Ovis aries: one gene and its partners. The protein of the gene in region 1 interacts with the protein of each later gene in a pairwise test. Links are inferred from orthologs where the notes say so. Each region holds a gene or a part of one and is shown in the gene's direction. Other genes may lie near its edges.

Region 1 (3,500 bases):
GGTCTTTTTTAGTGTAACACTACAGCTCTTTTGCTCATATACTTTGCTGTCTAAGAAGGTTTGAGTCTGTGAAGTGTACACGTCCTCCATAGTCTGTGTTTGACTTCAGATACTCAGTTCTGCCTGACTTCTGCATGTTGTCATCTCGTGTACTCCTGATCGCCACGACAGCCCGCCTGGTCCATTCCCGGATCTACAGCTCTTCCCGTTCCTTCATGGATCTGAAGGCTCTCCTTTGCTCCTTGAACGACTTTGCATCCCTCTCATTTGCTGAGAGCTGGGACAATGTTGGATTACTGGTGGAACCGAGCCCACCACACACGGTAAACACGCTCTTCCTGACCAATGACTTGACAGAGGAAGTGATGGAGGAGGCGCTGCAGAAGAAGGCGGATCTCATCCTCTCCTACCATCCGCCTATTTTCCGACCCATGAAGCGCATCACCTGGAAGACATGGAAGGAGCGCCTGGTAATCCGGGCACTGGAGCACAGAGTTGGGATCTACTCTCCTCACACCGCCTATGACGCTGCTCCTCAGGGAGTCAACAGCTGGCTGGCTAAAGGGCTTGGTGAGAAGCCTCTTGTTCTTTCCTATCTAGTTTTTTCCCTGTCAGTGCTTTGAAATTTTATAGAATGTCTTTTCAATAGTGTTTTGACCTCTTTAGGGATGGGAACCATTATTCTGTTTTTATGTATTTTTAAAATAACCTTGCTGAAACCTGACAATTAAATTATATTTGAAAATGAAATTTTATTCTTATTGAATAAAGACCACATGGGAAATCTTCATTTTTGGCTGAGCTTTGAGATTCCTTACTCAAGTGGCACAGTGCCTAGCACTCAGGCACTCCAGAAAAGCCTGTTGAATTGAATCGAAAGCTCAGGCCTCTCCAGAATATACTTCATATATCAGGCAGATAGTTTCACTGGATTAGTCCTTATGCCCAGCACAATGAGAGAATTCACTGTATGTGCTTTTAGCTTTATTTTTGGTAAGCCTTTTTAGTTTCCTTGTGCTGGGCTGAAGCTTCTGTGATGATATAATCTGGATTAGTGTGGTCAAGTGGATTATGAGCTTTGTGACCTGAATCATAGTTTACACAAGTAAATTTAGTAAGCAGTCTCAATTCTATATGTCATCAGAAATTCATGAGTCAATCTTGTCCAACTTTCTGTGATATTTAAGAGTCTTCTGGAAAATAGTTCTGAAAAGAAATATGATTCTGTATGACAATACAAAATCCTTAGGTTATGGGGACTATTGGGTGTATATGTAAGGACCATGTTGTGTGTGTTTATTATAGAAGCATCTAAGAATGAATCCTTTAAAGAATACTCATTTCTTACAGTAGTAGTTTTTAATTTAAAAAAAAAAACCCACAAAATCTCTTTTAACTCCTGACAATTTTTTTTCTAGGTGTTTGCACCTCCAGGCCCATCCATCCTTCCAAAGCTCCTGACTACCCCACAGAGGGAACTCACAGAGTAGAATTCAGTGTTACCCATACCCAAGACCTGGACAAAGTCGTTTCCGCACTGAAAGAAATTGCAGGTGTATCTGTGACTTCTTTTTCTGCTAGGTACAATATATTTTCCTCTTTTTGTGTATATATTAAGAATCTTTCTTACAAATTCTATAACCCTGCTATTTAAGTTTACAACAAATCATTTTCCTCAAGTGGCATCATTTTCCTCTGGTAGGTTTACAAAACAGCATTCTTCTCATTTGCATATGGGTCCCTGAGGAGGAAAACTATGGGATCTTTTCAATACAATAAAAATGATAACGCTTGTTGACTATTTTCTATGCAGGAAGGACTAAACCACACATCTTACAGTGTTTCTAATCCTCCTGACAGTGTTGAAAGGTATTTTTACTTTAGGGTATGTGGATAAACCCTAGTGATATACTGATAATATAGGTTTACTTTTATCAGTTCCCAGCAAATGATGATTCCCAAACACTTGAAAGGGAAAAAATACGTTAAAATGCCTCTCAGATATGCCAATCATTTATTTAATTAGGTCTGAGATACCAAAAAATGTTGGGACTAATTTACCCTGCTGCTGCTAAGTCACTGCAGTTGTGTCCGACTCTGTGTGACCCCATAGATGGCAGCCCACCAGGCTCCCCTGTCCCTGGGATTCTCCAGGCAAGAACACTGGAGTGGGTTGCCTACTAAAGCATTGTAAAAGACACATTATGCAGAGCTAGGACTTAATAATTATAAAAAAATCAAAGATAAATATAGTGACCTTTTAATAAAATGGAAATCTGTTAGCAGTAATCATGCCTTGGGTAAATCTCAACTGCCACTGTGCAAAGCTAAAATGGAAATCCATATAAGCTACACTAAGAATGACTCTTTGGTGAGTGGTTTTTACGTGTAGATACATTATACTAAAGCCATAGTAAATATCCTTTAATAGTATTGAGGGATTTCAAGATCCTTAAGGAAAATTATTTATAAGATTTTGCATAGATTTCGGTCATAGATATCTTTTACCATTCTGAAACACTGTGTAAATACTGAAATTAAAATTATACAAATAGAGCATGGAAACTTCAAACAATACCACAGTCCTCCTTGTCCCTTCTACTCAGTCCCAAGATCTTCAACTCGAGTTGTCTTTTCTTTTGTTTTCAGAGAAGTATCTTTCCAAACATGTATAGGGACATGAAGGAATGTATAGTTTTGTTTTAGTCATTTTTTTTTTTTAATTAAATGGTATGCTGTTTACTTGTCATAGTAATCTTTCCATGTAGATTTCTTATTATGAATGTACTATAATTTCTTGAAGCATTTTGCTTCCTAACTGGTGGACCTTTTAAAGAACTGATACACATTTAGTTTGGTTCCAGTTTCTCCATATTACAGGAGTATCTGGGACTTAACAATTAGACTGGGGACCAGGCATTGTTTTTGCTTCTTCTTTTCAAATCTCTGCAGATGGTTCCAGTGTTAAAATTATGCTTCCACATTATCTTGTAAGGTATCTTTTAGTTCTCAAATTCTGTGATTATATTTAGAGTTTATGATTAAATACAAAACTTTCTTGATGCTAGTTTTTTTGGAGAGGCTCTCAAATGTTCCTTTTTAAATTTTTTTTTGGCCGTGCCCCGTGGCTTTTAGGATCTTAGTTCACTGACCAAGGAGTGAACCCAGGCCCTGGCAATAAAAGCACCTAGTCCTAACCACTGGATGGCCAAGGAATTCCTAAGGGTATTGCTTTTTAAAGGGTGATTCAGGGACCCTCTGAATCATAAGCATAATGGGTGCTTTTGAAAAATGCATCACGTTGTTGTATGGCAGAAACCAATGCAAGATTATAGCAGAATTATCCTTCAATTAAAAATAAACAAAGACAAATGCAGATTTTTTTGCTTTATCCTAGATCTGTGTAATTAGAATGGGATTTGCCTGAGAGTCTGTCTGGGAAATTCTTGTATTCAATGATGTTTGAAAATTAACTTTTCTAGGGCTTTAAAACACTTGTT
Region 2 (4,202 bases), on another chromosome or scaffold:
CTCCATCCTGAATGGGCCTTGGGTGCCTCACTCACAGACTAGAGTGGTAAATGGTAAGAGAGTCACAAAGAAAGGAGAGAAATTAGGAACACTGACTGAGGTATTAGGTACAGATTATGAAGCCAGATATGAAAAACTTGAAGTGAAAAGAAAAGCCTTGAGCAGGGAGAACCACCACCACTCCCCCCACTCCCCGTGCCCCCACCATATTCGACCTCCTAACCTGAGTATCCTGATTAAGATAAGTATTCTGCATGTCACCTGTCACCACATCAGTCACCTCTGCTTAGCACCCCTCCCCTGCCTCACGGTCTTCCACGTCCTGACCCCTTTCCAGTGGCCTCTCTTCATCTCAGAACCTAAGGGCCACACCTAAGGGCCTTCTCTCTCACTGCAGCTTGTTTTTACCTCAGCGCCCACCTCAGTTCAGTTCAGTTCAGTCCAGTCGCTCAGTCATGTCTGACTCTTTGCAACCCCATGAATCGCAGCACCCCAGGCCTCCCTGTCCATCACCAACTCCCAGAGTTCACCCAAACCCATGTCCATCGAGTCGATGATGCCATCCAGCCATCTCATCCTCTGTCGTCCCCTTCTCCTCCTGCCCCCAATCCCTCCCAGCATCAAAGTCTTTTCCAATGAGTCAACTCTTCGCATGAGGTGGCCACAGTACTGGGGTTTCAGCTTTAGCATCAGTCCTTCCAATGAACACCCAGGACTGATCTCCTTTAGAATGGACTGGTTGGATCTCCTTGCAGTCCAAGGGACTCTCAAGAGTCTTCTCCAACACCACAGTTCAAAAGCATCAATTCTTCGGTGCTCAGCCTTCTTCACAGTTCAACTCTCACATCCATACATGACCACAGGAAAAACCATTGCCTCGACTAGACGGACCTATATGCTATCTAGGTTGGTCATAACTTTCCTTCCAAGGAGTAAGCGTCTTTTAATTTCATGGCTGCAATCACCATCTGCAGTGATTTTGGAGCCCCCCAAAATAAAATTTGACACTGTTTCCACTGTTTCCCCATCTATTTCCCATGAGTACCCCCTAATTTCGATGCATCGCCTCAGCCTCCCCCCGCCCCCCGCTTCAGAGTCTGTTCCTGACCTCAGCATCTCCCTCCGCTCTAGAGACGCCCAGCCTCGGCTCCAACCAAAGCGCCTCTCCTCTGTGCACTCTCTCCACCTCAGCGTCGCTCTCTCACCCCTGCGCGCCACCCACGCAGGTTCTTTCGCGGCTCCTGGAAGCTTGCCCGCAAGACGCTCCCGCGGCCCCGCACCTCCGTTCTCCTCGAGTCTAGGGCCCCGCCCCTCAATCTTCGCCCTGCCCTTGGTGGGGCCGCCCCGCCCCGTCCTGGCCCCGCCCACGCCAGGCGCGAGCTCAGACTAGCAGTTTGGCGCCAAACCTCTTGGTCTGGACGTGTTGGACGCCTGTCTCAGCGTTCTGGTTCCGAATCAGAATCCCTGAGGACTAGAAAGCCCCGGCCGGGGGCGGGATTCGAATACCTTGGGAACCTGGGGGAGACTGTGGGTACGAGTGGTGTTTATGGCAAAAGGGGAAGGCGGGTGAAGAATGTGAGGGGAAGTGGGGGCTTCCTTTCTTAGGTCGTGCTCGACGGTCGTTGCTGGGCCCTAGGCTGGTGGCTTTGTGCTCTTCGGCTCCCATCCCCACCCCGTCGAGTGCTCTTGAGGGATTTCCAGAATCCTTATTTTAAACCAAGTCGGACTAAGAGGCCTCCTCGGGCCCCTTATGAGGGAGTCCGGTGTCAGGAAAATGGCCGGTGGGTGGGGAGGCGGTGAGGGTGACCTGGACCGCGCTCGCCACGGTAAGGGACCGCTTCTGGCGCCCTAAGCCAGGGTGTTTGGGAGCCCTACTTTAGATTCACCTGTTCATTCCATCAACTGCTATTTGAGAAAGATGGAGAACAATCTTTTTATTAAGAAAGAAAGGACAGTCACTTACAGAATTTGGGTTATCATGTATATGATTAGCTATCTTGCGTGAGGGACCGCATTCCAGAAGATTCCGTTTACATTGTCTCCTCGAATACTTTATTGTACTAGGTGATAACGACCCTACTTCTGCCTCCGAAGTTTGTTCCCCACTGGGCTGGGCCCCAACTTAGTTTGGTGTTCAGTGAGGAGATGAAATAGAGCAAAACTGATTATTTGGACTACATTTTCTAACGAACACAGTCATGCCTTGTAGATTCCTGAGTTAAAGGCTTTATCTGCTTATTGGCCCTAATATTTTATCATTAAAATACTAGATTATTGTTGTTTAGTTGCTAAGTCATGTCGGACTCTTTTGTGTCCCTATAGACTATCCACCATAATTTTAAATCTTAAAATCTTGAAGCTAGTTAATATTATAAAATGAAATACATCTAATGTTTTATGAAACAAAAAAATATGTTACAAGAGAGCGCCTCATCTTTCCAAAGCAGAAGGGAGTCCTTGTACATGAGAAAAAATAATATCTTTTTATTGAGGATAGACAAGTTCTAGGTGCCAGGAGGATGCAAGGAAGACTTAAAGTCAAAGTTCTTAGACTGTTAACAAATATGAAAGTTTAGTATCATTATTTAATCCTAAGGTTCTACTTCTAAATAACCTTCCAAGACGACAAAAAGATATTGGTAGTCATGAGTAACTGTGCAATAGGAAATCAAAAGATGATACAGTGTGGCCATTTTTGAGGAAATAAATGAAACTAGTCCCCTCACCCACACATACCACACCAGAAAAAAGAAATAATGCCACAGGCTTAGGAGAAATAAGATAGGCCAGCCTAGTTATGGAGAAGGCAATGGTACCCCACTGTGGTACTCTAGCCTGGAAAATCCCATGGACAGAGGAGCCTGGTAGGCTGCAATCCATGGGGTCCCTATGAGTTGGACACGACTGAGCGACTTCACTTTCACTTTTCACTTTCATGCATTGGAGAAGGAAATGGCAACCCACTCCAGTGTTCTTGCCTGGAGAATCCCAGGGATGGGGAGCCTGGTGGGCTTCCGTCTCTGGGGTCGCACAGAGTCGGACATGACTGAAGCAACTTAGCAGCAGCAGCCTAGTTATTCCAAACTAAATTTTTTTTAAGGAATTTTTAAATTTAATTTTATTTATGTATGGCTGCTCTGGGTCTTCCTATTTGCTGTCCTCCTCCAGTTGTGGCCAGCAGGGGCTACTCTAGTTGCTGTGGGCAAGCTTCTCATTTCAGTGGTTTCTTTTGTGTGAAGGCGGGCCCTGGGCACACGAGCTTTAGTATTGTGATGCTTGGGCTCAGTAGTTGTGGCTCATGGGGTCTAATATTTGTCTAATTATCTTTCTGGTCCTTGATGACTGAAATGAAATAAAAAATTGTATGGGCAAAGGATTTTGTACTATATGATCTGTGACAACTTATTAATATTTCTTGTTTTTCCAGAATTGATTATTTTTCTGCTGTTCACCCTTCAATATGAAGGAGGATCAAGTTGTGCTGGAAGAACCAGGATTCCAAGATGAAGATGTATGCCTAGAATGTTGAAAGATACATAGATATTCAGTCATTCTACAAAATTGGAGTTCCTTCTCTGTTAACTACTACTTTTAGGAACTTAACTACTATTTTTATTTATTAGAAATAAAACATAGTTCTGGAGAGAGGCACTATTAGAAATATGTAACAACTTGTTTGGCAAGGGGAGCTAAGATTAGCTACTTAGCAGCTGGCATGAAAGTATTTTAATTTAACAATTGGCATGGCCATATTGGTACCAAATAGCAGAGGAAGGAGTTCAAGGTCTGGTGGAGAAGACTGAGAAAACATATTTAAAAATAGCTTGTGTTGTTCCACTCTTTCGGATTAAGGTCTTAAAAAGTTTGGAGAGACTGTTGGAATCCCCCGGTGGGTCAGTGGTTAGGACCGTGTGCTTCCACTGCAGGGGGCTGAGTGCCATATTGGGCTTCCTAGTGCTTTCAATGTTGGCACTGCTTTTAAGTATGCAACAATATGTTTGAAAAAGTATTATTGATCCTACCTCAATTTGTCCAGAGAAGCAGAATTTGAGGCATTTTGAAGTGACTCATAATGCTGAATTAAGCCTTTAAAATATGTGAAACAGTTGGATATGAAGAATGAACACTCTTTTTTTCCTGTTCCATCTCCTTTAGGAATCTTTGTTTCAAGACATTGACCTGTTACAAAAACATGGAATTGT
Region 3 (3,980 bases), on another chromosome or scaffold:
CTAAGCACCATGTGTTGTAACTAAGACTTGATATAGCCAAAAATAAACAAATAACATTTTAAAAATTTTTTAGAAGGCTGAACTCTAGAAATAATTATAACAGCCATGATAATGTAGTGGCAATAGCATGGACTATTGTTTATCAAACAATTATGAAATATCAAGACTCTTTCAAGCACTTTACATGGATCATTCAACCCAATCTCAATCCCATGAGTGTGGTACTCCCAGGATCTTCACTGTCCAGATGAAGACACTGAGGTTCAGGGAGGTGATGAGCTCAACACAGCTTGAAGTTTGACCTCTGACCCCAGAATCCCAGCTCTTTTCGTTATGACATCTACATCTTTAAAAAATTCTCACCCCTTCAATAAAACTGGACAAAAAAATGATATATGAAAAAATAAAATCTCAACCTTTCCTCCCACTTCCCTTCACCCTAACCAAGGCAGGGGCATGCCTAGGTCCCTAATCCTAACCCATTCATCCTTGGGAGCCCAAAGGTGGGGGTGGAGCTTTGCTCCCCACCTTAGACACCCCTCCAGCAACTATGGTCCCATCACTAGCCTGTTAAAGAAGGAAGGAATAGACTCCCACTAATTCTTTACAGTCTCGCTATTCAAAATGTGGGCCATGGAGCATCACCAGAAGCATCAACATCACCTAGAAACTTGTTATAAACACGGATGAAGGGTCTCACCCTAGATCTGCTGAATCAGAACATCTGAGTGTTTTATTAAGTGTTTTTTTATACCTCCTAGAGACAGAATGACAGCTCTACACGGTCCCGGTTGTAGCCTGCACGGGGGAGTACACAGCGTCTTCTTGCCTTTAGAGCTTGCCTAACGCCCTGACTCCTGATAACCCACCTTCCCGGACTCCACAAATCCTAATTCGGAAACTACAACTCCCACAATGCCCAGAGGGGCGCTTGGTTCTTTTTACACGACTACAACTCCCAAAGTGCTTCGCGAGTCATGCCACCATCATGGTGCCCAGTCTCCCCGGCACCATCAGGACTACAACTCCCACAATGCTCGGCAGCAGAACTACCGTTCCCCAGCGGCTCCAGAACGACTACACGTCCGCTCCAGCTCTGCTGGGTGAGGCCGTTCTCGGGCGGGGCCCGCGGGGTCTGCAGAGCCCTGGGCTCCTTAGTTCTTCCCCAGACAACACAGACATGGCGGCCGAGAAGGACCAGCAGAAGGATGCCGAGGCGGAAGGACTGAGCGCCGCGTGAGCAACCGAGACCCGGGAGTCCTGGTCCCCCGACCCCTCCCCCCTGGGGGGTCCTAGGAATCCCGGCCTCTAGACATAAGAGTTTGGGCCTCTGTTGTCCTCTTCGAGGACTCTGGAGCCTGGACCCTCAGCCCCTTTCTCCCCTGAGATCCAGGAGCCTGGGACCATTATCCACCCCAGAACCCCGGAGTCCGGCCCCCCTCGGTCCTCTTCTTGCTGGAGGGTCCGGACTCCATCCCGGTCGGTCGATCGCTGACGTGACCCCTCACCCATCAGGACCCTGCTGCCGAAACTGATTCCATCTGGCGCGGGCCGCGAGTGGCTGGAGCGGCGCCGTGCGACCATCCGGTCCTGGGGCTCCTTCGTGGACCAGCGGCGCTTCTCGCGGCCCCGCAACCTGGGCGAGCTGTGCCAGCGCCTCGTACGCAACGTGGAGTACTACCAGAGCAACTATGTGTTCGTGTTTCTGGGCCTCATCCTGTACTGTGTGTGAGTGCCTCTTCGGCCCGTCGGCGCCCCGGTCCCCACCCCCTCCAGGCTGCGTGGCCCGCTCTGGCCGACCGCGCCCTCAGCATCCGGCCCCACCTCTCACTGCCCGGGCCCCATTCCCATGGGATGTTCTGCCGGAAGTTTTCACCGAAGGGCCAGGTCCCTAGTTCCCCCATCAACCTGGCCAGGATACAGTGTGACCAAATGTGACCTAGACTTCCCCGGCCCCAAGCGGATCGCCTGCCATCCGCCGATGGGAAGGTCAGGGCCTCCTTGTCGGGCCTAGCCCCGGCTCCCTGACACACGGCTCCCTGCCCCCTTCCAGGGCGACGTCTCCCATGCTGCTGGTGGCCCTGGCTGTCTTCTTTGGCGCCTGTTACATCCTCTATCTGCGCACGTTGCAGTCCAAGTTTGTGCTGTTCGGTGAGAAATCCCTTGCCCAGACTGTTCACATCCTGGTCTCTTGGAACGCAAACCTTTTGACACCAAACCCAAGTCCTTTCGAATCCATGTCTGCCCAAGCCTCTATCTACACTAGATTCCCCCAAACTCGGTCCCTTAAAGTCTCAGACACACCTGATGCTCCCACCCACTCTCAGCGCCCCCAAGTTGCTATCCCCCAAGTCTAGAAGATACTCCAGAACCCACCTCCGTCTGACTCCTTAAACCTCCTTCACTCTCCCTTCTGCCTAACCTCCTGCTAACGTCAGCTGCACGTACCCCCATCGGCCACCAGGTGGCGACTTCCCACTGGCCTATATCCGTGCTCCCCCTTTCCTGCTTCCTGGGGAGGAAGTGGAAATCTTGGGATTTCTGAGAGGGAGGCTGAGCCCTGTGGCTCAGGTGGTCCCAGATTGACACCGGAAACACCACTGAGAAGAAAGACAAGCCTGAGGACTTCCCTGGTGGTTCAGTGGTTAAGACCATGCTTCCAACGCAGGGGGCATGGGTTCCATCCCCCATCAGGGAACTAAGTCACACATTATGTGTGGTGCTGGCAGAAGATTTAAAAATAAAACAGAGGGCTCTGAGTTCCCAACTAGGGGATGCTCAAGGACTTTGGAGTGGGGCTAAGGGGGAATTGGGCTCAGATGAACAGGTAGACCTAAGACAGAATGCTTCAGAAGCCTGCCGGTCACGTAGGTAGGCTGGGTGGAGGGGCGCGCCGGGCTAGCCCAGGGCATGGAGGGAGCGCTTGGAGTATAGACACGACTTGGCTTCAGCCACAGCTGCCACCAGTACCTGCAGATCCAACCTTCCAATCCACCACGAGAAGCCAGACATCTGTACAGCTGCCCCTTGGTGTCCATAGGGGGTTGTTCCAGGAGCCCCATGGCTGGCAACGTCCACCAATGCTCAAGTCCCTTATGAAAAATGATGTAGTACAGCGATCCACGGGTTTCCATCTGTGGATGCAGAGGGCCGGCCTATTGTTATGTGAAATTACCCAGTTTTTCTGGCAGCCACAAACCAAATTCTGATGGAATAATGTGCAGACTCAAAAGACACATCCCCAGGTCAGATTTGGCTCTTGGGCTGCCAGTCGGAGGTTCCAGATCTGCACTAGTGCAGGTTGGAGCAGGAGAACTAGTCAGGAGAAGGAGGCTGGGAGCTTCCTAGCAGAAGTGGGGTTGAAGGGCAGAGGGCAGGGGGCTGAGGAAGGCACTCTGTTCCCACGGTCAGTGGGTAGGGCCAAGGGCTGGAGGGCCTTAGCACAAATTTAGATTAGACCCTGAGACTCCCAGAGCTTGCGAGGTTTGGGGGAGCATCAGGGGTTACTCTGGGAGGAGGCACGAGTCAGAACAGCTGCCCCAATGCCCTCTGCCCTGCAGGCCGGGAGGTGAGCCCCGCCCATCAGTATGCTCTGGCCGGGGGCGTCTCCTTTCCCTTCTTCTGGCTGGCTGGCGCGGGCTCCGCCGTCTTCTGGGTCCTGGGTGAGTACAGGGTCTGGGCAGCAGTGTGGGCAGTGGGGGCCTGGTGAGGCCACCAGGCCCTGAACTGCCCATTTTCCTGCAGGAGCCACTCTCGTAGTCATCGGCTCCCATGCCGCCTTCCACCAGATGGAGGCTGTGGACGGGGAGGAGCTGCAGATGGAACCCGTGTGAGGTGGCTTCGCGAGAGCCCCCAGCCTCTTGAGCTAGCCGCCTCTGTTCACCCCGGTCCCACTCGGCTCTGGCCAAAGGCCCCCTTCCCACGTCAAGACCAGGGAGGGACTCCAGCTTTGGAAATAAAACTGTTACAGTTGTTGAGCA
Region 4 (3,451 bases), on another chromosome or scaffold:
ACTTAACCCTGTAAGAATAGGATCTTGCAGGACTTGTGACGAGCAGGAAGACTAGGAGATTAATACTGCAAAACAAAAGTTTTGACAAACATTTTTAATATAACTCTGCGGTCTTGTTTGTATTAAACATACTTATCAAGATATTAACACCCACTTATTGTGGCTTAGTCCTAGTACATATAATGAAACACACACAAACAGGAGTCTCAAAGCTTGTTTTCAGTATGTATAATCCCGACTCTGAAGTTGTATCATAACTCAAGAAAGAACTTTCTTTCAAAACAGTTTCCAGCATTGCTATTATTTTCTGTGGAATATGGCAAAATTTCTCCTACAGTAATGTTTATTTAACTGAATTACAAAAGGTTTTTCCCTCTTCCTAGTGTTAGCCTCTCAATCAGGATAATATCAAAGGCCCTGATCGTACATTTGCTTTACAAAGATTCAAGGTGTCTGTCTCCTATTTTTCCCAGTTCAGGTCTTTAAATGTAACTAAATATTTAGAGGCAATTGTGGTAAAAATTAGATTGTGTTAATTTTTAATAACCAAAAGTGTATTTCATCTAAGTTCTTAAAAAATAAATTATGTATCATTTTTAACCACTGCCCCAAAGGAAGGGCCAAAAGTCAGCAGTTTTATCAACAGGGAAGCTTAACATCTTGGTCATCTATATAGTTTGAATTTATAAAATATTATTCATTCTAAATATATTTTATATTACTTAATTTGTGATTTTTAAAACAAACATTCTAAAGAGATAGATCAGCTTTGTATGTTTTTCCAGGATGTATTTAATTTCGAGTGTCTACTATGCAATCTGTTTACTATAAATTTAGGTTATTATGAATATACCTAGGAATAAAACAATTAAAATGCTGAAATTTCCTTGCATGTTAATGAGACTATATTTTTTCACAACTAGATTATATGTATTATATAATTTCATGCTGCTGTACAAAATACTTTATAATTATGAGAGCCTAATAGAGACCTCTTATTAGAGTGAAATATATTCAAACACCAGTATATAAGTCTTTATCATGTAAATTAGTTGTATGTTGATAGTAAATTTTAATATCAAATTCTGGCTTTTAAAATATTGCCAGTTTACAAATAACTATTCCTAAATGCCTGATAATAACTGCTAAAGGAAATAAGATGAGGTCACCAGTTGATTAACAAATAGGCTGAAACCACAGACAAAGCTTTCTATGTCCCAAAATATACATTAAATATCTTACTTTCTCTTCTTTTGCTGAATTGAAATTAGGAAGCTACCTAAAACTTTTTAGGAGACAGTAAAATAGTAGAATGACTGTTCCATTCCTTTTAAGAACAGTTGCCATACAGTCTTTTCCTATCTAATACAGGCACATCATTAATATGTTATGTTTTAGATAAATCAGTATCATTGGCAATGTAAAAAACACTTGCTTTTTTTAAAAAAACACTTTAATATTCAATAACATTTTAAATTTTCAAGTGGAGGATTCTAAGCACTAAATACACCTAGTAACCCACATGAAATAATTGCAAAGAAAAAAAATTTTTAATTACTTGGAAACTTGGGGCTTATCTGTTTGGAGAGAACGTGTGAAAATTAATAATTTAAGAAAATACCAGGTTTGGATTTTTAAGAGATCATTTTTACACTGGTAAAATCAGCCTAGATGGAGTCTGGTGTGTGGAAGCATTTCTTTGAGGATTTAAAGAAGCTCATTCTCCTTCTTTTTAGCTATTAAGAAAAATTTTACCCACATTTAATTTTACAGAATCAATACCCCAGGCACAGTTTATGAACATGACGAACCAAACAGAAGACTTACTTAAATCTCAAGTTCCATTTTTTATTTTAATAAATTCATGAAATTACACAACTCTTTATGGGAGACAGAGAGCTGAGTTGTCAGCGAATTTTGTACAAATAGTACTCATTCTATTTTTATTAATCAATATATCCTACTTGATGGCTCGTTTAAGATATTCCATCATAGAAGCTCAATTTTTAGAAGTTTTCTTCTACTTTTACCTAATAGTACTCATCTGCTGCAACTGAGCCCTTCAAACTCCATCACATGGGTCCTCCCAAAGCACTCCTTCACCAAAAAAGTTACATAAATAGAAAGATGGATATTCTAAAATAGTCTTGTAGTAGGAGCGCTTGAAGGATTCTACCGTTTTTTCTTCTTTTCTAGGTTATGAAACTTGGAAATCCGGAGATTGCCAGGAGACTACTACTTAGAGGTGCTAATCCCGATTTGAAAGACCGAACTGGTTTCGCTGTCATTCACGATGCGGCCAGAGCAGGTTTCCTGGACACTTTACAGACTTTGCTGGAGTTTCAAGCTGATGTTAACATCGAGGATAATGAAGGGAACCTGCCCTTGCACTTGGCTGCCAAAGAAGGCCACCTCCCCGTGGTGGAGTTCCTTGTGAAGCATACGGCCTGCAAAGTGGGGCATCGGAACCATCAGGGGGACACCGCCTGCGACTTGGCCAGGCTCTACCGGAGAAACGAGGTCGTTAGCCTCATGGAGGGCAACCGGGCGGAGGGAGCTGCGAATCTGCAATGAATGTGGGGAGGGCTCTCCCACGCTGCCTTCTGTTTTGTCAGTTAATTGATTGGCTGTCCTATTTTAATATCATTTGTTAAAATTCAGTTTTGTCATATTTTAAGCAGTTAGTTAAAGCCTCTGAAACTGCCAAGTGGAAATCTTACTACAGCTTTATGAATATATTTAAGCAACATCTCTTTCACCTGCAAAACCCTGAATTCTAACATGTAATTGCAAAAGCTTTGGCTTTCTTCTGAATATTTTATCTTTCCCTGACTTTTCTCCTTGCCTCTCCCTTTGCCAGTCTCAGTACCCAACTTGGAGACTTTGTTTTTAAAATGGTTTGTCCTGATGCTTCTTTTGCCTGATTAAAACACATTTTCAAAACAGGACAATGTTTTCTGTGATTTCCACTCCTCTTATAATCCACACGTGATATGCTTCTTGCTAAGGAGAAGTAAACTGAAAGATCATGGTGTTTTAAGTCTTGACATTAGAACTAGACATATTCTATTGATGATCCAGTTAAATGCTTTTCTTTCTCTCCTCATGCCTCCCAGCAAAGATTTTACTTGATGCCTAATATGTCTGCTTTAAAATAGAGTAAGAACACATTTTTTTGGAAATCAAACCTGAAATTACCTCTGTGTAGACTTATCCTAATATTTGATCTTCCTTTTTTCTCAAAGTTAAGTCGTTGAAAAACAGGTTTCAGAAGTAACAATCTGGAATCAAATATATGTTAGCCCTAAAAGCCACTTCAAAAAGAAATTGCCATTAAAAAGTGCTTCCCATTTGTTGATTTTTTTAAATCACAAAATGAAACAATTGGTTAAATAGTATATTTCCCAAAAGTATACCATAAGTATGCTAAGTGTAACAATGGCTTTTTCTC
Region 5 (4,195 bases), on another chromosome or scaffold:
AAGAACACTGAATCCTTAAAGGGCATACTATATGATATTGTTCACATGAAGTTTTAGGAAAAGCAAATTAGTCACAGGGTAGGGCAATGGCTGGAGGGGGAAACACAAACGATGGGCATCTTAAATCGGGCGGTGGTCACGTGGGAATGACATCACGCTCACGCCTTCACCAGCAAACTAATAAAACCTGCAGTCACGTGACTCGGTGGGCGGCTTTGGATCCCAGCAGTTGGGGAGGGGGTGGGGGGGAGGTGTTGTCCAGTCCTCTTTCAAAAATGTAGTCTGTTCCCCACTCACCCACCCAGAGTCCTGTGTGTCCTCAAGCAAGTCCCTGGCCCTCTTGGGACTCAATCCCCCCACCCCCACCACCCAGTGAGTGGGTCCAGGGATCTCCAAGGAGCTTCCCACATTTGTTTCTGGGGTTAGAGGTGGCCTTTCACCAGATCGCAAGCCAGGCTTCTCGGGACAATCGTTCCAGCGGTGTGTGACCCTCGCAGGTCTTCCCCAGGCGCCTGTGTCAAGCGCACCTACTTCTCGGCTTCATGAGCGCTTTCTGCAGCTTCCGGGGCTTTGCTGCGCGCAGGCACACAGCAACCACTGAGTAAATGGTGGCTGCGAGGGGACGGTTAGAACTGCCCTATAGGTCGAAACGTGTGTTTGAGACGGGGTCCTTGGGGGGTCCCCCAGAGTCTCCTGCAGGTCGGGGCCAGAGGCCCAAAGGCCCCAGCACAGAGCTGTGCGCGGCGCTGCGCCTTTAAGAGGCGAACGGAATGTATCAAAACAGAGCGGCTGCGCGCCCACTGGTCGCGCGCCGCACGTGACCGCACAGCTGATTTCCTGCTCCCCCCTTTTTGTTGCTGCGGCCGCCGCCGAGTGTCAATTTCCGCGCCGCCGCCTGCGGTCGCCCCCAGTGCGGCTCCGCGCGCTGCCCCCCGAGCCCGCCGCGCGCCCCTGGCCCGGGTCCGAGCGCCCATGGCGCAGTCGCCGGCAGCAGCGTCGCCGGGCGCGCCGGAGCAAGGCTGCCCCATCCGCGTGGAGCACGACCGTCGGCGTCGCCAGTTCACCGTCCGGCTCAACGGTAACGCCGGGCCCGCCCGCCCCCGCCTTTTGTCTGCGCGCCGCAGGGCCGGGGGCGCACTCGCGGGCCAGGTGGGGGCGGGCGCCCAGGGCGGCGCGAGCCCGGGAGCGGCGGAGGCAGGCGCCGGGCGGCTCCGGTCCCGCCTCGGCCCGGGGGAACCCGCACCTGCTTGGCCCGGCTGTTTTCCGGGATCCTGCCGAGGTCCCGGGGAGAGGGTGTCCCGCCATTTCCCCATTCCCGGTGTTGAGTGGCTTCTGGCTGCCTCTGCGAATCTTCGCTTCTTTGCTCGGAGGGGGCTGGAAGACCCTGCTAGACCGACCGGGGGCTGACGGATGGAGGGGCTTCGGCCCGTCAGGGGCGGGGCGGGGCGGGTACGGGGAGGGACGTTGTCTCCTTCAGACCCCGGCGGCTTTGGGGCTTGGCCAACTTGCCTCATCTCTGTGCGCCCGTTTCTCGCCTCTACAGTGGGATTAACTCCTGGCTGGTGGGAAGAATTGGATGCCCCAGTAAGAGTGAGGTTCAGAACAGCGCCTGCGGCAGGTAGTCAGTGCTGGAGGACTTTACTGATTTTTTTTTTTTTTTTTTTTTTTGCTGGCAGGGTCTTAGTTGTGGCATGCGAACTCTTAGTCGCGGCAATTTTGATTTTTTAGTTGGGGCCTGTAGGATCTAGTTCCTTGACCAACCGGGCGCCTTGCATTGGGCTCTCACTGGACCACCAGGGAAGTAATTGGGCATTACTTCTTAAACCAGAAGCGAAGTCAAGCCCTTCACCGCTTCCTAGTCCACGCCCCCTCCGCCTGATTGAGAAATGGAGGGTTGAATTCCTGGCATCCCACCCCTCTCTGTTAATAACTTTTTCCTCCCTCCCAGCTGGGCCTTCTGTGGTAGTGCCCAAGCTGGATGGGCCCGTATGGGCCACTGTGCCCTTGTCTGAGGAGGGAAGGGCGAGGCTTCCTGAGGTCAGGCAATGGGGGGAGGGGCAGAACTCGAATAGGGTCTTGTCTGGGCGGACTCCTCCCACCTGCGCTTGGAGGTTCTGTCGGAGCTGGGACTTCACCTTCTCAGACCCCATTTGGCTGTGCTCGGCTTCGAACCCGGCCCCAACACACGTCTGTTACAACCTACTCGTGACGTGGCCGTCACCACCCTGTGTTCAGAGGAGTAAGCTGAGGCCCCCGCAGGCCAGAACTCAAACACGTTTTCCTTCCTCTTCTCCGATATAGTGCCCACCCTGGCGCACCTGGCCGTGACTCTCAGGGCTCCCCTGCTACTCTCATTCCAAGAGGCCCCCTGGCTTTTCAAGGCTCCTGAGAGGCCTCTGATTTCCTTGTGGGTGTTCAGGAGACCCTCAACACTCAGAGAAAGAAGAAAAAGGGGACTTTTGGGGGTGTTCCTTCTTTTTTTCCCTAATGAGTACAGCCATTAGGGACATCCTCTTGAGTTGGCTGGGGTCAGGACTGGATGAGCCCAGCTGCCTTTGTAAACTTGTCCTGTCTGTCGCCTCCTGCTCAGATGGCTGACTCTAAAGTGGACCAGGATCCTTGGCCAAGTTCTCACCAGTCTACAAGACTGGGCTGTGTATCCAGGCTTGAAATGGTCTGGGTGTGTACAGGGGTGGGCCGAGGGCTCCTCTGTGCCCAGGCCCCAACCCTGCCTCAGCTGAGGAAGGGAATGGCCTGCCATGGTTTCAGCCAGGCCCTGGAAGCCAGCTCACTGTGCCCAGTGAGAGAGGTGGACACTGAGGCTGAGAGGTGGAGCAGCCCTGTGGCTCTTAGCACAGGTGTGTGCCAGCCATCCCCTGGCAGAGCTAGGCTGGTGAGTCCCCAGCAAGTTCCAGGTCTGGGGAGGAAAGAGCAGCTGTGTGCATTCAGTCCTTGGGTTTCCGGCTTGCCCCTCGCACTGGAGTCACTTACTTTATCCTCAGCATTGCGGGCGGTGTTGGTGGAGGGGCTGCTCTGCCCATTTTACAGAGGAGGAGACTGAGGCTAGGATAGGAGACTGACCAACATGCCTGCAGTCTTGCACCTTGGAGATAGAAGAACTAGGATTCATGCCACAAGTGCTTCTTGAGAGCTTACCATGTGCCACACATTATTGTAAGTGCTGGGGGCTCAGCCATCTGAGGGTCAGTGGACAATAAAGCATAGACCATCCTGAAGAACAAGACCTGTGAGAAATAAGGTTGGGGTGTTGGGAAGATGCCGGTGCTTTTTGTTTGTTTTTTTGGCCACACTGCATGGCATGTGGGATCTCAGTTCCCCAACCAGGGATCAAACCCTGCCCTCTGCAGTGGAAGCATAGAGTCTTAACCACTGGACCACCAGGCAAGTCCCAAGGGCTGTTGTTTAGAGTCAGGTGTCCAGGAGGACCACCCAAGAAGGAGGCAAAGAAGGGAGCTACGGTGGCAAGAGTGCTCCTTGTGGAGGGGGCGGCAAGTGCAAAGGCCCTGGGGTGCCTGATGTGTCCTGGGAGAAACAGAGCCAGGCCACAGGACAGAGGGCATCAAGAGGCATGGAGGCAGGTGGTGCGGGGCTGTGGCAGGCATTATGAGAACTTGGCCTTGACTCTGGGTGAGATGGGTGCCTGGGAGGGTTCTGAGCAGTGGGTGGATCAGATGTCATGGGCTCCCTCAGGCTGCCTGGGGGCAGGCAGTGTGAGCAGATGGGGAGAAAGCCCAGTTCCTCGGTGCTTGCTGAAGGAAGCGTGGATGGGGTGCTGACATGGGGTGTGAGAGGACATGGGTGCTCAGGCTTTTGTCTGACTGCCCGATCCAGGGCCTGAAATGCTGGGGTGACACGTGGGCTAACCTCAAATAATGAGGACCCAGCCCTGGGGGACTCTAGGGGAGGTGCCAGGAAGAGGGAGCAGCTGGCTGAGGCAGGTGGCCCTGAGGGCCGCGGGGAGGCCGCTGAGCTGAGGATGGGCGGGGTCTGACTCTGCTTCCATGGGGGGTGCAGGGGCCAGTGGACATGTGAACAGTGGTCAGATTCCAGACAGATATTGAAAGTTCTGCCCATGGGCCTGCCGAAGGCTCAGACTGGCATCTGAGAGATGTGCGAGAAGGACCCCAAGCACCTTGGCCTGGCTTGTTCGTGGCCGTGTCTCCAGCTCCCGAGA
Region 6 (3,500 bases), on another chromosome or scaffold:
TGGAGCATTTCTTAGAAGTCTGGAAGTCTAGGTCCTTATTACAGTCGCTGTGATTTCTAGTCTCCAAAATTAGGAGAGAAAAAGCTTTTTTTGTCATAGGAGAGCCTCACGTGCTGCAGTCCATGGAGTCCCAAAGGGTCAGATACAACTTAGTGACTGAACAACAGCAACAGAAAATAATAAATCATTTCATTAAGCCTTCCACTTCATCAGGGAAAACTGCTCCTTAAGCTGGAAAGTGGCCCAGTCATATGTAACTAACTTCCCCCCTTTCCACTGTAAAGGTATTCAGACAGGTCAGAAATCGTCCTTGGTGCCGTTTAGTTAATTCTAGTAAAATGTTAATATTCAGTGATGTGGTTTGATACTTAAAAAACTTAAACATATCAGTCACCCAAGATCACGTGCAAGTAAAATGAGCAAAAGGTTTTCTGAGAAGCAACATCTAATTTTATGCACTGGATTTAGTCTTATCCTAAGGGAAAAAGTGAAAGCATTTTGGTCAGGCCAGTAAGCATTTAACTCACCTTGTTCCACAAGGATAATCTGTGTTCTTATTAACCCAGCAGAGGCTAACATCTCCTAAATAAGGAGCTCAGAAAGAAAGGTTACTTCGTTCTGTACAGATTTCTTTCCTCAGAGGAAGAATTTGTTAGCACTTAAGAAAATATGCGTATGAAATGGTAATGATTTATTTTGTTACTTAAGCTCCTTACTCCCAAAATGGCAAACTACAAATTGCAACCATTTAAATCCTTGACTGAAGCCTTTTGAGAATCTATTAAGTAAATGCCACTGTGTCTCCCTGTTTCCTTTTAAGAACTTTTGCAGATTAGGGCAGTAAACGACCCCAGAGCTGTCAGGGATCCCAAAGGATGAACTGAATAAATTAGTCTCCTTTAATTTTCTTAAGCTGAAGAATCTGTGTTGAGTGAGTAGATTGACTTTAAGGTTTATTACCTATAAAATGTAGATTTACCTTCTACTTAGAAAGTTTCACTTTTACTTCAGGGAGAAGGCAAGGAATAAGATCAAGCGATAAGATCTGGTTCGAAAGAACACAGCTCTGTCCAGACTTGCAGAAGAAGAAAACCTCAGACCCTGTGTTCTTTAAACTTGAAACATTTTCGCTTTTAATTTTGGAAAGTGAGGCTTGGTGAGGCTGGAGTCCTAGATCACTGATGACCGCTTCAGTTGTCTAACTTTCCAAATGGAGACCTAGCCTCAGCTGAAAATTCAGATCTAACAGAGAAAAGTTCCAGTCCGGCTTATATATTGGGGATCACTGGAGGAGCTTTTAAAAAATCCCGATACCCAGGCATCTCCCTGGGAAATTCCAGTCCCAATTAGTCTGGATTGAGGCTGAGGCACTGGCTTTCTTTTTTTTTTTTTTTTTAAAGGTGAATCCAATGAGACTAATGTGTAGCTGAGGTTGAGAACCAGTGAGCTAGACTGCTTACTGCATGGGTGATTAAAAAAACTTTTCAGTGCTCATTTGCAGTGCAAGTAGTGTTTCTAATACTTATTTATAAATTTCTGTCCAGCTGAGAGATGCTAATATCAAGTTCAGAGTACAAATATTCCCCATTTACAACCTGATAAGAAATGATCCATATGTGCATGTCAAGATCTTTAGGTTTTCATCTGGCTTACTTTCAGAGCTGTATTTCTGTGAAAAAGCAGCTGTGGTCATAGTTTTAAAAACCATATTAACACATGAAGATTTAGGTAATAATGCCATATTTCCCTACTAAACTTTAAATCAGAGTATTTTTAAATGGTTAACAAACACTACATCCTGAAGGGTACCTCTGAGAACTGTAATTACCATCCTTGATTCCCTTAAGTATATATTCAACATCAGCACTCAGCTCTCAATGAGCGCTTCTCGTCTTTGGAACTCAGACCATTCCTGGACCTTACTGATTTGTTCTTGTACTGAACTATATTTTTCCTATTTTTCAGCTACATAAAACTGGATTATGGAGAAACAGCCTGGTCAGAACGCAGTAGCATAGTGTGTGGAGATGGCTGATGTGTGCACAGTATTGGTTTGTGAGGCAGGAGTAACTGGACCTGAAATTGACCAGCAGACCTAGCCCACATGCTTACTGGTCATTCTCAAGCGATGCTTTTGATCAGACTTGCCCAAATGAGCATCGTTACCCGACTTTTGTTAATTTCGGCACCTGTAGGTTGCTGTCTACCAATCAGTTTAATCTCAAGTGGAGTGTTCCCGAGATTGGCTTTCCAAAAAACATAGATGTCTACACCTCAATTTAAGTTCTGGGGTTCTTGGTTATACAAAAATGTCATGTGATGCGTAAAATCATGCTTCACTGTTTTCCTATAGCTCATCATCCTTTCCTCCTATTGATTACCCACCAGGTAATCAATTAGCCACCAGGATTTGGAGGAGAGTTTTCTCTTGGGTTTTTCCTGCCTGTAGACCTTTTGAGGCAGCATTTGGTCATGCTCAGGTTCAGTGTGAGGTTGATCTTGATGTGCCTCATCCTCCAGTGAACCCGTTTCAGCCTCAGTTGATGGAGCAAGAATATTCTCCTAGGTTAGACACACATGCCTGTACCATATTTTTGTTTGTTGTTCACAGTTGGAACCCAAAACAGACAACAACCCCCAATTTCCCTTATCTGCTCCCAGCGAACTGCCGTCTCTCGCAAGAGAAATAAAAAGAAAAAAGTGCCCCCAAAGACTATGGAACCTCTCACTGTGAAACAGAAGCCCAGTGCATTGGAAGCTGAGAAGAAGGCTGCAGGGGCCCCCGAGAATTCCAGTCTCCCCGTGGCCGAGCACCCCTCCCCTGGGGAGAGCCACATTCTAGGATTCGGCATCGTGCTCGAATCACCAGCCTCCGATGTAAGTTGATGTTTTCTAGCTGCTCATGCTAATATGTAACTTTCAGACACTGTGCCATATTTATACACTTTGCCCTTCACTAGTTCTGCCCAAGAAAACCAGAGAAACTTGCAGAATACACGTGGGAAAGAGGAAAGGAGAACTCTTAATGCTCTCCTTGCCCAGAATTTTCTCTTCTGAAAATCTTAGGCCTTATTTACCTCAGCATGTTTCCATTCTCTCCGAAAGGAGACGGGTGATGGAGTAAATATTCTGTTCACTAATTTCGTTAACATTTGTAATTTCGAAGCGGCCGTTTTCAATTTCCTCAGCATAGAGAGCTAAAAGAATGTAATTAAATCCTTTGTAGATGGACATAAATGAGCAGAACCCTACAGATAAGGTCACACCTTTCTAGAAACACAAACTAATAATAAAAAAAGAGCAGTACTCACACTAATTCTATTTTATAGATGCAAGGATGCAAGCCACACTGCTAATTAGGTTGCAGTGCCGTGCCATTGAGTCTGTGTAATGATAGGTTAACACTCTGCAAAGGTTTTTCTATTTTAATATCATAGCTCGAAGGTCGTCACAGCCCAAGATACTGGATGGCATCTAAGACAACCGTCTGACTTACCGTT
Region 7 (4,030 bases), on another chromosome or scaffold:
AAAATAAAAGCAAGGTAAGAGCAAGAGTGGGTGGTCAGGGCAGGCCTCTTGGAGGAGGTAACATTTGGATTGAGGCCCAGAGGAGGAGGAGCTGGGGAAGCAGGTGTTCCAGGCAGAGAGAGCAGCAAGTGCACTGGCGCTTGGTCAGGAAAGAGCTTGTTGGGTTCTAGAACAGTCAGATCAGTGGAGCTGGAGAAAAGTGAGTGGGGACAAGTGGTAGGGGATGAGGGTAGGTAAGTCAGTGCCTTCTTAGGCCACAAGGAAGAGCCCGAGTATTACTCTTACTGGGAAGCCACAATAAGAGGGTTTTTCTACAAAAAATTATTTATTATTTTTGGCTGTGCTGGGATATTTCTACCTCATTGCTACCCGGCCTCAGGGTACTCTTCATTGTGGTGTGCAGGCTTCTCATTTTGGTGGCTTCTCTTCTTGCAACGCATGGGCTCTAGGGCACGTGGGTTTCAGTAGTTGCGGCTCTCAGGCTCTAGAGCACAGGCTCAATAATTGTGGTACATGGGCTTAGTTGCTCGGAGGCATGTGGCATCTTTCCGACCCAGGTGTCAAACCCGTGTCTCCTGCATTGGCAGATGAATTCTTTACCACTGAGCCACCAGGGAAACACACAGTATATAGCGCAGACTCCATAAATTGTAGAGTGAGTGATTACAGGGATCTCACCGGACTAAACCCTATGCATGGTTAGGAGGACCCATGAGATTATAGACCCCACCCTCCAGCATCTCACAGGCTCGCTAGAGGGAAAGAGATGTCAGCCATGGATCCCACAGGAGATCCCTTACCCAGAGGAAAGTCAAGGAAGATTTCTCAGAGGATATGGCAGCTCAGCTGCCAGAGAAGACCAGGGGTTATGCCGCATATGGAGGCTCCAGAGACTCGCAAGACACGAACAGCGATCACGGTTCCATTTGACGAGAGACTCTCCGAGGCAGAAACTGTCTGATAACTCCAGGTGATTCGAATTCCGTCTAACGGCAACGTCTGAGAAACCATTCTCTCTTTGAGAGGGTATACACGAACCGGCAAGCTCCACGCAACGCGGTGGGTTTCCAGCAGGCGGCAGTAAAAGTAAAAATCATTCATCGGCGGCCGGGAACGCACGGAATAGAAATAATGGGTCCTCGCGGCTTCCGTATTACGGACTGTACAAGACAAGATGGCCGCGCCCTGGATTCCGGGCGCGGCGAGTCACGTGATTACACAACTTCCGGCACTCCCCAAGTGTTCCCCAGGCCTTGAGTCTCCTGCAGAAGTGCGTGCCGGGGCCTAGCGCAGTTCGAGGCCGCCAGAGGGCTGGCCTGGGGCGGCTCTGACTTGAGAGTGCAGCTGCAGGACCATGGAGGGTCCCCCTGAGAGGGAGGCGCCCGCGGCCGCGCTGGCCGCCGTGCTGAAGCACAGTTCGGCACTGCCTTTCGAGAGCGCGCAGGTCCGGGGCTACGACTTCAACCGCGGCGTGGACTACCGCGCACTGCTAGAGGCTTTCAGCACCACTGGTTTCCAAGCCACCAACTTCGGGCGCGCGGTACAGCAAGTAAACGCCATGGTGAGGCCTGGGTGAGACTTCCGGGGCTGAGGGGGAGTGGCCTCCAGTAGCACCCTGCGGTAGCTGGGGGCGGGACTTCTCTGGGAGGTGTGTTCTTCGTCCAATAGTGGGAGAGAGTATGGGGCCCGGGAGTTTCTGTTCTGGGGAGTGGTTGGGACTGATTCTGGGGCGGGGCGGGGAGCGGGCGTTATAGATAATAGGTGAAAGTATTGTGGAAGGGGCGGAGCCTGGGCTAGAAAGTCCATTTGAGCGAAGAATTGGAGGAGGACCCTTACACCCGCCCGGACCTGAGCCTGAGTTTGCATTTCCCCGTGGGGAGAGGGGTCGGGCCTGAAAAAGTGATGCTCTCGGATTCCTGAAAAGGGGCAAAGCCTAAGCATGTGACCTGAGACTTGGGCTGTGAACAGGGCAGAGCCTACACAAGGGTGTTCCTTCCCCTGTTCCAGGTAGAAGTGGTTCTCTGTCCTTGAATGGGCAGATCCTGGGCGGGGAGTCTGACACCAAAACCCACCGCGGGTCCTTGGGGTGGAATTTGGGGCCAGAGGTTAACTCAGCTCTGCCCATACCTAGATAGAGAAGAAACTCGAGCCTCTATCCGAGGATGAAGACCAACATGCAGACCTGACCCAGAGCCGACGCCCACTCACCGGCTGCACCATTTTTCTGGGCTACACATCCAACCTCATCAGTTCAGGCATCCGTGAGACTATCCGTTACCTCGTGCAGCACAACATGGTGGGACCTGGTGGGGGTGTGGCCTTGGGCTCCCCGCGTCTTAATGGGCAATAAGGTTACTGGTCATTTAAGTGAGATAGGGAGATATGGGTTAGTTTTGTTTTGCAGCAGAGGTCCCCACAGGGGTCACTGGATGAGAGTTGGGAGTTAGGAGTTCTGCTTGGAATAACTTCACTGCCTTGTGGCTGCAGGTGGACGTCTTGGTGACCACAGCTGGGGGTGTGGAGGAGGATTTCATCAAGTGCTTGGCGCCCACATACCTGGGCGAGTTCAGCCTCAGGGGGAAGGAGCTACGTGAGAACGGCATCAACCGGTGGGTAGGTGGGGGCTGAATGGTGCTGAGTAAGGGAGGCAGGCTGAGGGTCCTGGGCCCTGATGCCCATACATCTTCTGTCCCCAGGATTGGAAACCTGCTGGTGCCCAATGACAATTACTGCAAGTTTGAGGATTGGTTGATGCCCATTCTGGACCAGATGGTGCTGGAGCAGAACACAGAGGTGAGGCTGGAGCAACCTGGGGCTGGGGGAGGGTGCGTTTGCTGATGGCATGGTGGGTGTCAGGGGAGGCGCCGCTGCCTGAAGCCAATGTCTCCTCCTAGGGTGTGAAGTGGACACCTTCCAAGATGATCGCCCGGCTTGGCAAGGAGATAAACAACCCGGAGTCTGTGTATTACTGGGCCCAGAAGGTGAGGGACTGGCGGGGGCAAAGATGCCAGGTTTTTGGCATGTGTTGTTTCACTTTCACAGCCACCTGGGTAGTTGGTACTAGTCTCCTCATCCCTGCTCCTACATAAGGAGCCTCAGAAAGAGAAGTTAGGCAGTTTGTCTGAGGTCCTACAGCTATTGACTGTGGATCTGGTATTCTGGCTCTACTCCTAGACTGCTGGGAAGCAGTTGGAAAATACTTAGCAGCTCCTATGGGGACTCTTGGAAGGCTCCATGCTCCTCAGAGGCTCTGGGGTCTAGCAATCAGAAAAACAAGAACTATCATTCTTCATGTGCCAGGCCCAAGTGAAGTTAAGCACCCTGCCCAGAATCAGGCAAAGAAGAGGAAATGCCTGCAGGCTGCCCCTACAGGGGTTAGATCCGGCCCGCCTCCTGTCTTGCTCTTTTCTAGAACCACATTCCTGTGTTGAGCCCGGCACTCACAGATGGCTCGCTGGGTGACATGATCTTCTTCCACTCCTATAAGAACCCAGGCCTGGTCCTGGACATTGTTGAGGGTAAGATGTTGGGGCCCCGGAGGAGCAAGGGAGGAGGGCTGCCTGGGCCTGCAGTGGCCTGACTCAGCCCTCTCTCCCAGACCTCAGGCTCATCAACACACAGGCCATCTTCGCCAAGCGCACGGGGATGATCATCCTGGGTGGTGGCATGGTCAAGCACCACATCGCCAACGCCAACCTCATGGTGAGCAGGGATGCAGGCTGTGCGGCCCCTAGTGAGGGGTGGCACTTGTGCCTGCTGTGCAGACAGGCCTGTGTACTAGGCCCATGCCGTGTGCTGGGAAACAGTTGTGGACTAGACAGGCCAAGATCCCTGCCCTCCTGGAACTGATGTTCTAGTGGGGGAGATGAACAGCAAACCAGTGACAAGGTGACACGTACATCAGGTGGCAGTACTGGCTACAAAGAAAAATCAGGGATGACGACAAGAGGGCAGGAGAAAGGCATGCTATTCAGAAAAGGGAATGCTTCCTGGGAAGTGTGACCTGTGAGCAGAGGTTTTTCAGAGGCTG

Evidence for each region.
Region 2: the proteins of NIF3L1 (region 1) and DMC1 interact in binary tests that used the Homo sapiens proteins (3 or more experiments, as listed by UniProt). The two-hybrid records come from large-scale screens. The link is inferred for Ovis aries from reciprocal best matches to the Homo sapiens genes NIF3L1 and DMC1.
Region 3: the proteins of NIF3L1 (region 1) and RABAC1 interact in binary tests that used the Homo sapiens proteins (3 or more experiments, as listed by UniProt). The two-hybrid records come from large-scale screens. The link is inferred for Ovis aries from reciprocal best matches to the Homo sapiens genes NIF3L1 and RABAC1.
Region 4: the proteins of NIF3L1 (region 1) and CDKN2C interact in binary tests that used the Homo sapiens proteins (3 or more experiments, as listed by UniProt). The two-hybrid records come from large-scale screens. The link is inferred for Ovis aries from reciprocal best matches to the Homo sapiens genes NIF3L1 and CDKN2C.
Region 5: the proteins of NIF3L1 (region 1) and NATD1 interact in binary tests that used the Homo sapiens proteins (3 or more experiments, as listed by UniProt). The two-hybrid records come from large-scale screens. The link is inferred for Ovis aries from reciprocal best matches to the Homo sapiens genes NIF3L1 and NATD1.
Region 6: the proteins of NIF3L1 (region 1) and BEND7 interact in binary tests that used the Homo sapiens proteins (3 or more experiments, as listed by UniProt). The two-hybrid records come from large-scale screens. The link is inferred for Ovis aries from reciprocal best matches to the Homo sapiens genes NIF3L1 and BEND7.
Region 7: the proteins of NIF3L1 (region 1) and DHPS interact in binary tests that used the Homo sapiens proteins (3 or more experiments, as listed by UniProt). The two-hybrid records come from large-scale screens. The link is inferred for Ovis aries from reciprocal best matches to the Homo sapiens genes NIF3L1 and DHPS.

What each region holds. Positions count from the first base shown.
Region 1 is NC_056055.1:203,282,316-203,285,815, forward strand, and holds part of NIF3L1 (NIF3-like protein 1), read left to right. Parts: intron 1-109; 5' UTR 110-134; coding exon 135-570; intron 571-1,418; coding exon 1,419-1,581; intron 1,582-3,500. UniProt on the Homo sapiens protein: May function as a transcriptional corepressor through its interaction with COPS2, negatively regulating the expression of genes involved in neuronal differentiation.
Region 2 is NC_056056.1:216,055,378-216,059,579, reverse strand, and holds the start of DMC1 (meiotic recombination protein DMC1/LIM15 homolog), read left to right. Parts: upstream 1-1,402; 5' UTR 1,403-1,531; intron 1,532-3,427; 5' UTR 3,428-3,460; coding exon 3,461-3,511; intron 3,512-4,155; coding exon 4,156-4,200; intron 4,201-4,202. UniProt on the Homo sapiens protein: Participates in meiotic recombination, specifically in homologous strand assimilation, which is required for the resolution of meiotic double-strand breaks.
Region 3 is NC_056067.1:50,855,831-50,859,810, forward strand, and holds RABAC1 (prenylated Rab acceptor protein 1), read left to right. Parts: upstream 1-1,180; coding exon 1,181-1,236; intron 1,237-1,515; coding exon 1,516-1,728; intron 1,729-2,053; coding exon 2,054-2,151; intron 2,152-3,560; coding exon 3,561-3,662; intron 3,663-3,744; coding exon 3,745-3,833; downstream 3,834-3,980. UniProt on the Homo sapiens protein: General Rab protein regulator required for vesicle formation from the Golgi complex. May control vesicle docking and fusion by mediating the action of Rab GTPases to the SNARE complexes.
Region 4 is NC_056054.1:25,433,819-25,437,269, forward strand, and holds the end of CDKN2C (cyclin-dependent kinase 4 inhibitor C), read left to right. Parts: intron 1-2,196; coding exon 2,197-2,574; 3' UTR 2,575-2,951; downstream 2,952-3,451. UniProt on the Homo sapiens protein: Interacts strongly with CDK6, weakly with CDK4. Inhibits cell growth and proliferation with a correlated dependence on endogenous retinoblastoma protein RB.
Region 5 is NC_056064.1:34,974,254-34,978,448, reverse strand, and holds the start of NATD1 (protein NATD1), read left to right. Parts: upstream 1-1,395; 5' UTR 1,396-1,410; coding exon 1,411-1,618; intron 1,619-4,195.
Region 6 is NC_056066.1:27,526,944-27,530,443, reverse strand, and holds part of BEND7 (BEN domain-containing protein 7), read left to right. Parts: intron 1-2,611; coding exon 2,612-2,877; intron 2,878-3,500.
Region 7 is NC_056058.1:11,115,727-11,119,756, forward strand, and holds the start of DHPS (deoxyhypusine synthase), read left to right. Parts: upstream 1-1,230; 5' UTR 1,231-1,354; coding exon 1,355-1,561; intron 1,562-1,803; exon of another isoform or gene 1,804-2,007; intron 2,008-2,131; coding exon 2,132-2,296; intron 2,297-2,487; coding exon 2,488-2,609; intron 2,610-2,696; coding exon 2,697-2,793; intron 2,794-2,894; coding exon 2,895-2,981; intron 2,982-3,412; coding exon 3,413-3,518; intron 3,519-3,598; coding exon 3,599-3,702; intron 3,703-4,030. UniProt on the Homo sapiens protein: Catalyzes the NAD-dependent oxidative cleavage of spermidine and the subsequent transfer of the butylamine moiety of spermidine to the epsilon-amino group of a critical lysine residue of the eIF-5A precursor protein to form the intermediate deoxyhypusine residue.